Cricetulus griseus: one gene and its partners. The protein of the gene in region 2 purifies or fractionates together with the protein of the main gene of each other region. This does not show direct contact. Links are inferred from orthologs where the notes say so. Each region holds a gene or a part of one and is shown on either strand. Other genes may lie near its edges.

Evidence for each region. The genes of interacting proteins can lie anywhere in the genome.
Region 1: the proteins of Nap1l1 (region 2) and Nap1l5 purify together in Homo sapiens (affinity purification with mass spectrometry; 3 studies listed by BioGRID and IntAct, counting the BioPlex papers as one, with this or other methods). This does not show direct contact. The link is inferred for Cricetulus griseus from reciprocal best matches to the Homo sapiens genes NAP1L1 and NAP1L5.
Region 3: the proteins of Nap1l1 (region 2) and Maged2 purify together in Homo sapiens (affinity purification with mass spectrometry; 4 studies listed by BioGRID and IntAct, counting the BioPlex papers as one, with this or other methods). This does not show direct contact. The link is inferred for Cricetulus griseus from reciprocal best matches to the Homo sapiens genes NAP1L1 and MAGED2.

What each region holds. Positions count from the first base shown.
Region 1 is NC_048601.1:83,307,601-83,310,041, forward strand, and holds Nap1l5 (nucleosome assembly protein 1-like 5), read left to right. Parts: upstream 1-1,461; coding exon 1,462-1,932; downstream 1,933-2,441.
Region 2 is NW_023276806.1:144,110,500-144,114,444, forward strand, and holds the start of Nap1l1 (nucleosome assembly protein 1-like 1), read right to left. Parts: upstream 2,802-3,945; 5' UTR 2,650-2,801; intron 1-2,649. UniProt on the Homo sapiens protein: Histone chaperone that plays a role in the nuclear import of H2A-H2B and nucleosome assembly.
Region 3 is NC_048604.1:108,703,694-108,707,681, reverse strand, and holds the start of Maged2 (melanoma-associated antigen D2), read right to left. Parts: upstream 2,810-3,988; 5' UTR 2,722-2,809; intron 2,620-2,721; exon of another isoform or gene 2,471-2,619; intron 2,394-2,470; 5' UTR 2,366-2,393; coding exon 2,321-2,365; intron 1,960-2,320; coding exon 1,468-1,959; intron 883-1,467; coding exon 508-882; intron 425-507; coding exon 361-424; intron 117-360; coding exon 37-116; intron 1-36. UniProt on the Homo sapiens protein: Regulates the expression, localization to the plasma membrane and function of the sodium chloride cotransporters SLC12A1 and SLC12A3, two key components of salt reabsorption in the distal renal tubule.

The DNA of each region.
Region 1 (2,441 bases), on a different chromosome or scaffold from region 2:
CTAAATGATTTACATATAATTAATTTAATATGCATAATAACCAAAAGACAGAAATTTCTTTCAGATTTCATAAGCATAAGACTCTGGCAAGAAAGAAAAACACTTAAATTGGTAACAAATGAATGCTCTAGAAACTACTTAAGAGTTGTGCCCTGCCCTGTATATAAACAAGAAGCCCTAAAGAGGCAGGCAGGAGGAACCCAGAATTTAAGGTCATCATGATCAGAGGTTAGAAGCTAGCCTGGGCTGGCGTAATATGGGTATTTGGGTAAGATATTAAAGTGTCCAATTACCAGAAAACGTCTTCATTATCAGAAAACAAGCATCTGATGTTGATGGTCTTTTCCAATGTTCTCACACGCAAATCACAAGCAGATCCTAAGAGCAGATGGTTAACTGTGAAGTGTTTGGTGACAAATGGTTGTACGTGCATCTGTAGGTGCGGTAGGGCGAGTAGGATCAAACACACGCTTTTCAAGATGTATTAAAAGAATCTCTTCTCCCTGGCTCTTATGGGGATGACTAACCTGCCACCCAGAGGCTGCATGCCTCCCAAGATAACGATGAATGGGCCCCACACATTGGGAGACGATGGCGTCTTTTCACAAAGTCACAAGGCTGGACACTCCGAAGGGTTTTTTTCCTTCGGTTCACCCTTGCTTTATTCCTTTTCATTGGCGCCTGGGTGGACCCTTCGGTAACTACCAGGAAGGTTACGGTGCTGAGATTTCCTACACAAGCACTTCTAGAAGTAATTCCAAAGTACCTCGGGTGATAATTTGCCACCAGAACGTATGTAACTAGGTTTAAGCGAGATGGCTGGCTGTGAGCTCAAGGCGCCCAAGATGGCTTGCGCAGATAATGCGCAGATATGCAGATCTGCAAAGGTGTGGGGGGAAAATGGTTCTCCCGCATTTCTTTTCTCTGGTAGTGAATTTAAGACGCAATCAAGATTCGGAAAGGAAGGTACCCATAGCTAAGACTGCCCAGCATCAGCTATGGCGCACTTCCGAAAAAACAGTTAACAGGTGCATTGCGGATTCAAAGGGCTGAGACGGAAGAGGGGGGCACAAAGCAAACAGCCTGGGGCTGCATAAACAGGTATGGAAAAATACAGGCTCAGCCTCGAGCTGGTTCCAGCCAGCTCTGCAGGGGAGGGGGCGGAAGCTGGGGGCTGGGAGTCTAAGTGGTTTTGAGGACCTCGGAGATAGCAGCATAGCAACAATCTGGTGCAGTATGTGCGCAAAACCATCAGCTGATAGCGGGCAGCCATTCATTTGCCGCGAGCCACGAAGCGGCAGCGCGGACGTCACCACAGCCGTCAGCATTTGCCGCATCTTTAGACTCACTCTGGACCAGCCGCAGTCACAGAAGGAGGACCTCTCTGGACCAGCACAGTCGCAGACTGCGCAATCACCAGACCACTGCGGCAAACCAGCCGAGCCGAGCCGAACGCTAGCCATGGCCGACCCCGAGAAGCAGGGACCCGCTGAGAGCCGTGCCGAAGACGAGGTAATGGAGGGCGCCCAGGGTGGCGAGGATGTGGCAACCGGAGGCGAGGGTGCCGCTGCGCCCGCGGCCGAAGAGCCACAGGCTACCGGGGAGAACGCGCCCAAGCCCAAGAACGAGTTTATCGAGAGCCTGCCCAATTCCGTCAAGTGCCGAGTTCTGGCGCTCAAAAAGCTGCAGAAGCGCTGTGATAAGATCGAGGCCAAATTTGACAAGGAATTCCAGGCTCTGGAGAAGAAGTACAACGACATCTACAAGCCCCTTCTTGCCAAGATCCAGGAGCTCACCGGTGAGATGGAGGGCTGCGCCTGGACCCTGGAGGAAGATGATGATGACGACGAGGAAGAAGACGAGGAGGAGGAGGAGGAGGAAGAAGAGGCTGCGGCCGGCGCCACTGGGGGTCCCGACTCCGCCAAGAAGTGAACGCCAGCAGATGACAGGTGATAAACCCCCTACCCCTTTCATTTCCGATGTCGGCAGACTTTAAAAGGCTCAGGTTTTGCCCAAAATACAATGTGAATCTATTCTGACATTCCTAAATTTAAATTGAATCTAGATTTTGGCTAGCCCGTTTTTAATCTGACTCTTAATTGTGTAAAACAAATACCAAAAGACGTTTTTAAACAAAAAAAGCCTAATTAAGCTTAATTTTTTTTTCTCCCTGCAATTCTGAGAGAACTGGACTTGAGACTGATGTAAGATGGTCAGTTAAATGTGAAGTGCGTCACACGTTGAAATCCATTCATCTCACTACACCCGACCACCCAAGCTAAGACTGAACTTTTCTCAATGCTTAATTCTTCAGTTTCTTTACATTTTCCAGCGAAGAGGAGAAGGAATCCAAGAACGACGTCATCTTTAAGACTTTTGCTTTTGCAAACCCAGACATCAGCTTTACACTCTGGAGGAGACGTGGCATGGAGGAAGCCTGG
Region 2 (3,945 bases):
TGTTTTCCCTGCAGAGACCAGGAGCCCACTTGGCAGCTCACACTAGGATCTGACAACCTCTTCTAACCTTTACAGGTACCAGCAAGACACAGGGTGCAGTCATACATGTGAGCAAAATACACACATAATAAAAGCTTAAAAAAAAAAAAAAACAAGAACCCAACCTCATCATTGCAAAAGTCTGAGTAAGCCTTTTAATCATACCAGACCTGTTTTCTAGCTAAAATGTTAGTAGTACTAGTTAACTAATACTAAACTACTAGTTAGTTACTACTACCACCTAAGGCATGTTTCTAAAGAGAAAGCTAATACTACCTGACAGCATTAAATAAACAAATACATGAATGAATGATTGGAATGATGGAATTTAAACAACCCCACGCCTTTAATCTCAGCATTCACTGGCAGAGGCAGGTGGATCTCTTGAGTTCAAGAGCCGCCTTCCCTACACAGCCAAGTGCTATGTAAGAAGAGAACCTGTCTTTAAAAAAAGAGTCTCACAGTAATCACTGTGCCTATTTGTTCCCCATGGAGTATCTTTAATTGTTTCATAACCTTTGTTTCTATGTTAATGGGTGTTCTGCCTACACATTATGTCTGTACATCCTTTGTATACAAGTTGGACGCTCTGGGACCAGAGTAACAGACTGTTGTGAGCTACCAAGTAGGTGCTGGATATTGAACCCAGGTCCTCTGGAAAAACCAGTGCCCTTAACCCAAGCTAACCCCTGTAGCAGTCTCTTTATTCTAAGGAAATTATAGTTCCTTTTCCACTGTAAATAAAAACATGAAAAACTTTTCAAGTTAATTGTCCAAATACATTTTTAGCAATGAAAGGCAGAGTGGAAATCCTGAGGTCTAGCAGTTACTTATAACCCAATAAAATAAGCAATGTGTTCTGATACCTTCAGATCTTTTTAAGTCGCATCCCACCTCTTTCAGCACCCCCCTTCCTGTATTGGCTTCGGTCACCTTAGGCCAATACAAATAATAAAATAAACTACAGAATTTTAGTCACATTGGTTCGGCCAAGAGTGTTATTTTTTTTAATCTCATGAAAGGACATGTCAATATTAAACTATTGTCAATTATAGGGCCCAAGACTTAAAACAAAACAGGTATTTTGCAACAGATAAAACGAACAGACATCACGTTATGTTGAAGAGTCTTTAACTTTTTATTAATCTAAATGCTGACTTGAAAAGAACAATTAGTTAAGTCAAGATTTTATGACAGATGTCTAAGTCCCTGCTAATGCTAACTTAAATCCTTCAAATCCAGATTTGGAATTAATGTAGTTGTATGGTTTAAATATGGGGCGTGTACTTCAACTGTACACAAGCTTGAGAGAAAAAGACTTCCCCAAGACCACCGAAAATCCCGTTTACCTGTTTTAGGTTTTCCCCTAACAAAACCAAAATATTTCTTTGGATATTAGTTTGCAAAGATGTTCTGATGCTAAACTGCTTTCAAAAAATATAGCAAACTCTAGGTTGGCTCTCTTGAAACCAGGTTAGTCAGTATTTTGAGTTTTTAAGACGTTATTTTCTCAGAACTCGGAGACAGGAGATGAAATAGGGAGTCCTTGCAGGCTCGTACCTGGTTCACCCTTTGATTCTGGAAGTCTAGCCCTCCCGACAGGACCTGTCTCCTCCCTCCCTTCATGGCCACGCCTGAGATCTCTATATAAATGTGGCGCACTGAGTTTTGCCCAGTATCAGTATATATTAATGCCTTGCTCCACCTCATACCCCCAGTGAGAATTCTGGGAAGTTCTGGAAGGGAAAACTACGCTGTTGGTCTAGTAGAATGGGAGCCCCTACCCCCACCCCGCACCCAACAAGCCAGCCTCCTCTTCATCTTAGAACCATCCGGAGGTTTAAGGAGACTTCAGAGCAAGTTCTCTCTCCACACAAATAAGACCCCGGGGCCAAGGTACCCAGAAGTTCTAACCGTACCTGTGAGGCACAAAACCACCTCTAGATAGAAAAAAAAAAAGAAAAAAGAAAAAGCTACGCTAAATGCTTTGCACGTGTTAACCCTTAACAACCCCAGCCGCGCAGGCTTGTTCTCGCCCCCCCCCATCCTCCCCTGGTCGTCGTCCCCACCCCCCGCCACCGGCATCCTCCCATCCGCTAGCACATTCTCCTCCAGGGAAGCGCGTGAGCCCTCGGGGCTGGTCCTCGGCGCAACCCGACCTTCCTTGTCTTCAAATCTTGGGGAAGCCCGAGCGGGAGGGGTCTCCCGCCGTCCGCAGCGCGTCCCCACGTGCCCGGCTCCTGAGCGCGGGAGGCCGCGGCCTGCGCAGCCCCCTCTCTCCCTCCCTCCTCCCCCCGCGGGCGGAACTCGCGGCCACCGTTCTTTCCATCCCCCACACCCCCGCGGCCTGCTCGTGGTGCTCCTCTCGGGGACGGGGGACGACGACACCGAGGCAGCGGCGGCCCGGGTGGCCGGGGCGACCCATGCGCTCCGCAGCGTGGCCTCCTCATCCTCCCGCTCCCCCTCCACGCCGCCGCGGCCTCGCTGTCCCGCGCGCCCCGCAGCCGGCAAGCGCCGCCGGGGCCCTTCAGGCGGCGCGGCCTCGGACACCCCGACTCACACGCACGCACACCTCGCAGGCCCCGAGCCCTCCCGGGTCCCAGCCGTTACCGTTCCAGGAGGCTCAGACGCGGAGCCGGGCGGCCGGAGCTGCGCAGGCAGTGACTCAGGGCGGCGGCGGCGGCGGCGGGAGGAGCGGGAGGAGCGGGAGGCGGCGCCGCGAGCAGATGGCGCTAAAAGAGACCCGAGAGCCCGCCGCTCGCGCTCATATACAATTAGCGTCAGCACGTAGGGCCGCTCCGCCGCCCTCCTCCCCCCGCCCCCTGGCCTCGGCGTCGCCTAGCAACGGCAGCAGGAGGCGGGCCCGGCCCGTGTTGCCTAGTAACAGAGCCGTCCTTCTCTCCCCCTCTCACCCCCCTCGGAGCCCTAGGCTTCCCGCCAGACTTGGTCGTCTGCTGGTTGCGCACCGCGCAGTCTCTCGCCTCTGCGGTGGGGTCGAAATCCCAAACTCACCGCGGCGACCCTGGTTCTCCTTGCCCGCTCGCTGGGTTAGGTACAGCAGCCTGGTCGCCGGCTTGCAGTATCCCGGCTCGGATTCCGCGTCCAGGCGTGATTCCTGCAACTCTTCCTCCTCCTCTTCTCTGAAACCATTTTTTTTCCCACCCCGGCTAAGAACCACACAGCTCTTTCCTCCGGGACACCGCAGCGGCATCTTCGGCACATTTTGCTTCTTAGTCAAGGGGCCTTTGCGCCTTCTACCGTGTTCCGCATCATGTTCACCGGATACGCAATCCTTCATTTCTGCTTTAGTTGACTTGATGGTAGAACTGCTTTATGATGCTTTTAAATTCTTAAAACGCTTTATAATGACAACAACCAGTGTATCAATTTTTCATCTTCCTGAAAAAAGTTAATCTTGTATAAAACCCTTAAGCTTGTGAAACCTTGCTGCTCTTTTTCAGTTGGCTACAACTCACCTGTTAACTCTTTTGAGTTTGGTGCTTAATTGTTTTGGTTTTAGGCAGGGCTGCACTGAGTAGCCCATGCTGGTATCAAAACTGAAATCTTCCAGAATGTGGGTATGTGCCACAAAACAGTTGTGCTCCAAGTGTGGTCTGACCTTCCACACACCCTTTAAGGTGGAAGGTCCAACCTGTGTCTATAATACTAAGGCACTGTCAACATTTTACATCCCATTATCCCACAAGCCTACACTGGAGTATTTCTGCCACTACACATCATAGGATAGGAAAACATTGGAAATACAAACAATCAGGCATGGAAGAACTTGGTAAAAACTAATATGCTCATATAACAGGCTATGTGATATGACTGTTTTAATGAAGAATAACCACTCTTCAAGATTTGTCAGTGTTGGGCCCTGTGGATGTAGCTCATTTAGTAAAA
Region 3 (3,988 bases), on a different chromosome or scaffold from region 2:
CCCCAGTGCACCCATCCCCCAGGGCTGCCCCATCACCTTCTCCAAGGAATAGCCTGCTCGTTCTATGATTTCAGGGTATACATCAGTATATTCTTTTATGATGTCCTTCAGCATATCTGCAAAAGGAGAGTGTTGTAAACATTGGGGCTGTAGAGATACCAGGTGACCCTCATGTCCAACCTACAGACCCTTTGTTGTCCATGCCATGGGTGTCATAATCAGGTTTTGGGCTTATTGATAATGATGGCACTACTCCGAGAACTTTGGGAGAAGAGATAGGAACAGGAGAGGGAAGGATGTCCCCAGCACACTGGAGAGAAGGCAGACCTCAGGAGAGGGAACTTGTTTATAGGACTCTACCTGAGCGCCTGATGGGAATCTTCGTCTGATCTTTAGCCAACAGGTACTTCACCAATTCATTTGCCTAAGAGAGAAGGAAACAGTGAAAAGACTAAAAAGTCGGGCAAGGCCGTGGAAAAGGTGGGATGTACAGGATGAAGTTCATACCCTTCCTTGTAAAAGGGCCACATCTCTAGGTGGGGGTGCTTCAGGTTCTTGGGATGCAGACTGCAGCTTGGCAGCTCTTCTTCGGGCCTTGCCTCTCCGAGCTCTAGGTGACCTCAGAGAAAGCAAAGCTCTGCGAGCCCAAGCAGCCAACCGAGTCCTTGATGCCCTGCGGGCCCAAAAGGCTATGGGTCCCCTTGAAGCTCTGCGGGCCATGGAGGCCATTAGGGCCTTTGAGACCCTCCGACCACCTGTGGTTTCCGAAGCCTGACTCTGATCACTGTTGCCACTGTTGCCACTGTTGCCACTGTTGCCACTGTTGCCACTGTTGCCACTGTTGCCACTGTTGCCATCTTCTTCCCCATCCAAGTGTTTCACCTGCATCGACAGAGAAGAGGACCAACATCAGCAAGTGAAGCAGATGGTTCTTTCTCCTAACTCAGTCTCCTCTGGAAAGCACGCCCTAACCCTGTCTCTTCTTGGATGTACCCCTAACTCTGACCTTGTCGTAATAGTCTGCCTCACTGTACACTAGCCATCCTGAGTCATGGGCTTATCACTGAGTACCAGTTGGGAATTTCCTCCCTGAGTGGATCAGGAACAACTCAGAAATACGGCATGGGGATTCTCTTCTTCCTATGTCCACCACTGACTCTGCTTATGCCAACCTGGACTAGCCCTCTCTCTGGACATCATTTTCCTTCTCTACAGAACGAAACCATAGGAGTTACTTTCAGATAAGTGTACAGCTACTGCATAAATATAAAGTGCATCACAGATTGCAGCTATGTATATTCCTGTCATATCTCCCCACCAGCCTGTGAGCTCTGTGGATACAAGAACTGTAACACATTCCTCTGTGTCTTTCATGAGGACAAGAGATTTTTTAATGTTTGCAGAACAAACAAACCAAATGACATGATGAATGTGGAGGAGCAAGGGCAGCTGTGGCAGAGGTCTTACCTTTTGGGTATTCTTGGCTTTGACCTTGGGCCGAGTATCCTGATTCTCCTGGACCTGGACAGCTGCACCCTCAGGCTCTGGTTCATCTGCTCCAGCCTGAGAGTCAGCAGCCTCAGTCTCAGGGGCCTTTGTACTGACCTTCGGATCAGTAACACAGCTGACCTTTTTGGTCTGGGTTGCAGGCATTGTCATAGCCTGCAGGTCAGCCTTCTGCGTCTTGGTGTCAGCTGCTGGGCTCTTGTTTTCAGCTGCCAGAACCTGGGTATCAGTCAGCTGTGTGGTAGTTGAAGGCTGGGTGGCAGCTGCCTCAGAATCCTCTGGGGCCTTCGAGACCTCTGTGGCTTTCGGGTTCCCAGAGGCTTTGGGGACCTTTGCAGCCTCTGAGACCTCTGGTGCCTTTTCAGCCTTCGGTGTCTCTGAGACCTCCAAGTTCTGGGTCGCGGGCAACAGGTCCTGCATCATGGAGCCGCTGTCCTTTTCTGAAGCTTTGCCCTGCAAGGGGAAGCAGCGAAGTTCGCCGACCTTCTCCCCACCCTCAACTATAGAAATGGTCCCCAAATTCCGAGGCACCACTTCTCTGACCTGTAAAGACTTCTACCTGCAGTGTGCTCTGATCACCTCCCCATAAAAAGGTCTCCCCTTCCCCTTAGTAGAAAGTAGTGACAGTACAAGGGCCCTCCCACCCTCTCCCCCTTCCTCCTGGCCTCCCCTCTACTGGGGAGAGGGGATGCACCCCGGCAAAGAAGTGGGTGGAGAATGACAAGGATGGGAGGAGAAGCTCCAAAGATTTGGAGCAGCAAAGGGGGCTGGAAAGGCAAAGCAGTAAGAAAGAGAGGGCAAAAATTGGTCTTACCTGAAAGCGAGTTGGACCTGCACCACTCTCACTTGTTTCAGACATGTCTCAAGTTCACCCGACAAAGCTGAGTCTGAAGAGAAGGCCTGGGTCAAGTGGAGAACCCGCTGAATGTCGTATCCCTTCTTCTGCCTAGAAGCTGATCCTCACCTTTTCTAGGGCCCCACAGCCCAGCCCCTCCCCGAGCCCCAACCAGTAGGTTCTCAGATACAGAAATTCAGTCTTTAGGTCTCAGTTCTCTGCAGCCGCACCCTCCCCTCCTCCAGGAAGATGTGCCAGCGCGGCAGCTCTAAGGACCCCGCCCCCTTTTCCCAGCGCACCCCCCCCAGCCGCAGGCCTGGAATGCGCATGCGCTTATGCTGCAGCGCCCTTTCAACCCCGCCTGCTTTCCCAGTACAAACCCGTTCTTTGAAGTCCACCGTGCACATGCGCATTCAGCAGCTGGCCCTGTCTCCGTGCGAGCCCTTCTCTACACGCCCCTTTCTAGCTATACATAAAGCGCATGCGCAATGGCCACGGTCTCAGTCCAGCACCCAGCCCCTACACACGCCCCTTTCTAGGTCCGCAATGCTGTTCGGCCCCGCCCCCTCCCCACCAAGCCTTCCTTCCAAATTGTCGCAGTGTCTGGTGGTCCCAGCCCCTCCCCTACTCACATCCACCCTATCAATTTCACAGAGCCTCCAAGTCCCGCCCTTTATCCTAACACGCCCCCCTCCAAACGGCAAAACCCAAATTGGTTTGGCTCCTTCCCTGTAACACCCCCTCCTCAACTCAGGACTGAACTAGTGATTCCATCTTGGGCCCAGCCAAACGGGGTCCAGTCCCCTCCCTTCCTAGCTGGATGGATTCGGTAAGATTTGGCTTTTAAGGCAGGTTTTCTCCAAATCCCAGAGGGTGGGGCCGACCCCTAGCAGGCTCTCATCCAAAGCTGGGGCCCATGGCTCACCTCCTCCTCCTACAATTCCCGAATGCGTCCACTCTCTCCAAGCCCCTCCGAAACTCAAGATACTGCCCTCCCCACTAAAGGCCGGAAGTGGTCCCGCCCCTTTCCGCCTCCCTTGGGGGCCTCCGTCCCAGCCCGTCTGCCCTTCCCCCCTCATCACTCCTTATCCCCCCCCTCCTTATTCCCTCTGCCTGACTCCGGACTCCCTATTTCCCATCGCATATCCTATTTACCCTAAGAAATCTCTTCCCATTCCTTACATCCTCCTCTGTATTACCTATGCACAACCCCCCCAATGTTCCTTAACCCTTCTCTGCATACCCCTATTCTCCTCTCTGGATCTTGTCTCCCCCTCCACATCCCCCCCCGTATTCCTCCTTCTCCTCCCAACATGCACAGTTCCCCTTTTTCTCTCCTTCACCTCCGACAGTCTCAGCTGTCCAGTCCATATACAGCCTACTACTTTCTTGGTTGTTCTCTTTCCCACACCGCATTAAAAGCAGCACCTCTGCTCCAGCTACAGTAGTGAAATAAGAATTGTCCACCTGCCCAGCTGTAGGTTTCGGGAGTTAGAACCACTGTCTCGTCGCCAGGAAAGCCCAGTCTTGTCCTCTCACCTTGTCCTCTAGCGAGTCTGGGATGCGTGTGCCTGCTCTCAGTCCCTCTCGAAGTCTCAGCCTCCTGGACTAGAGCTGCAGACAGCCCAGCCCAGCCCAGCCCAGCCC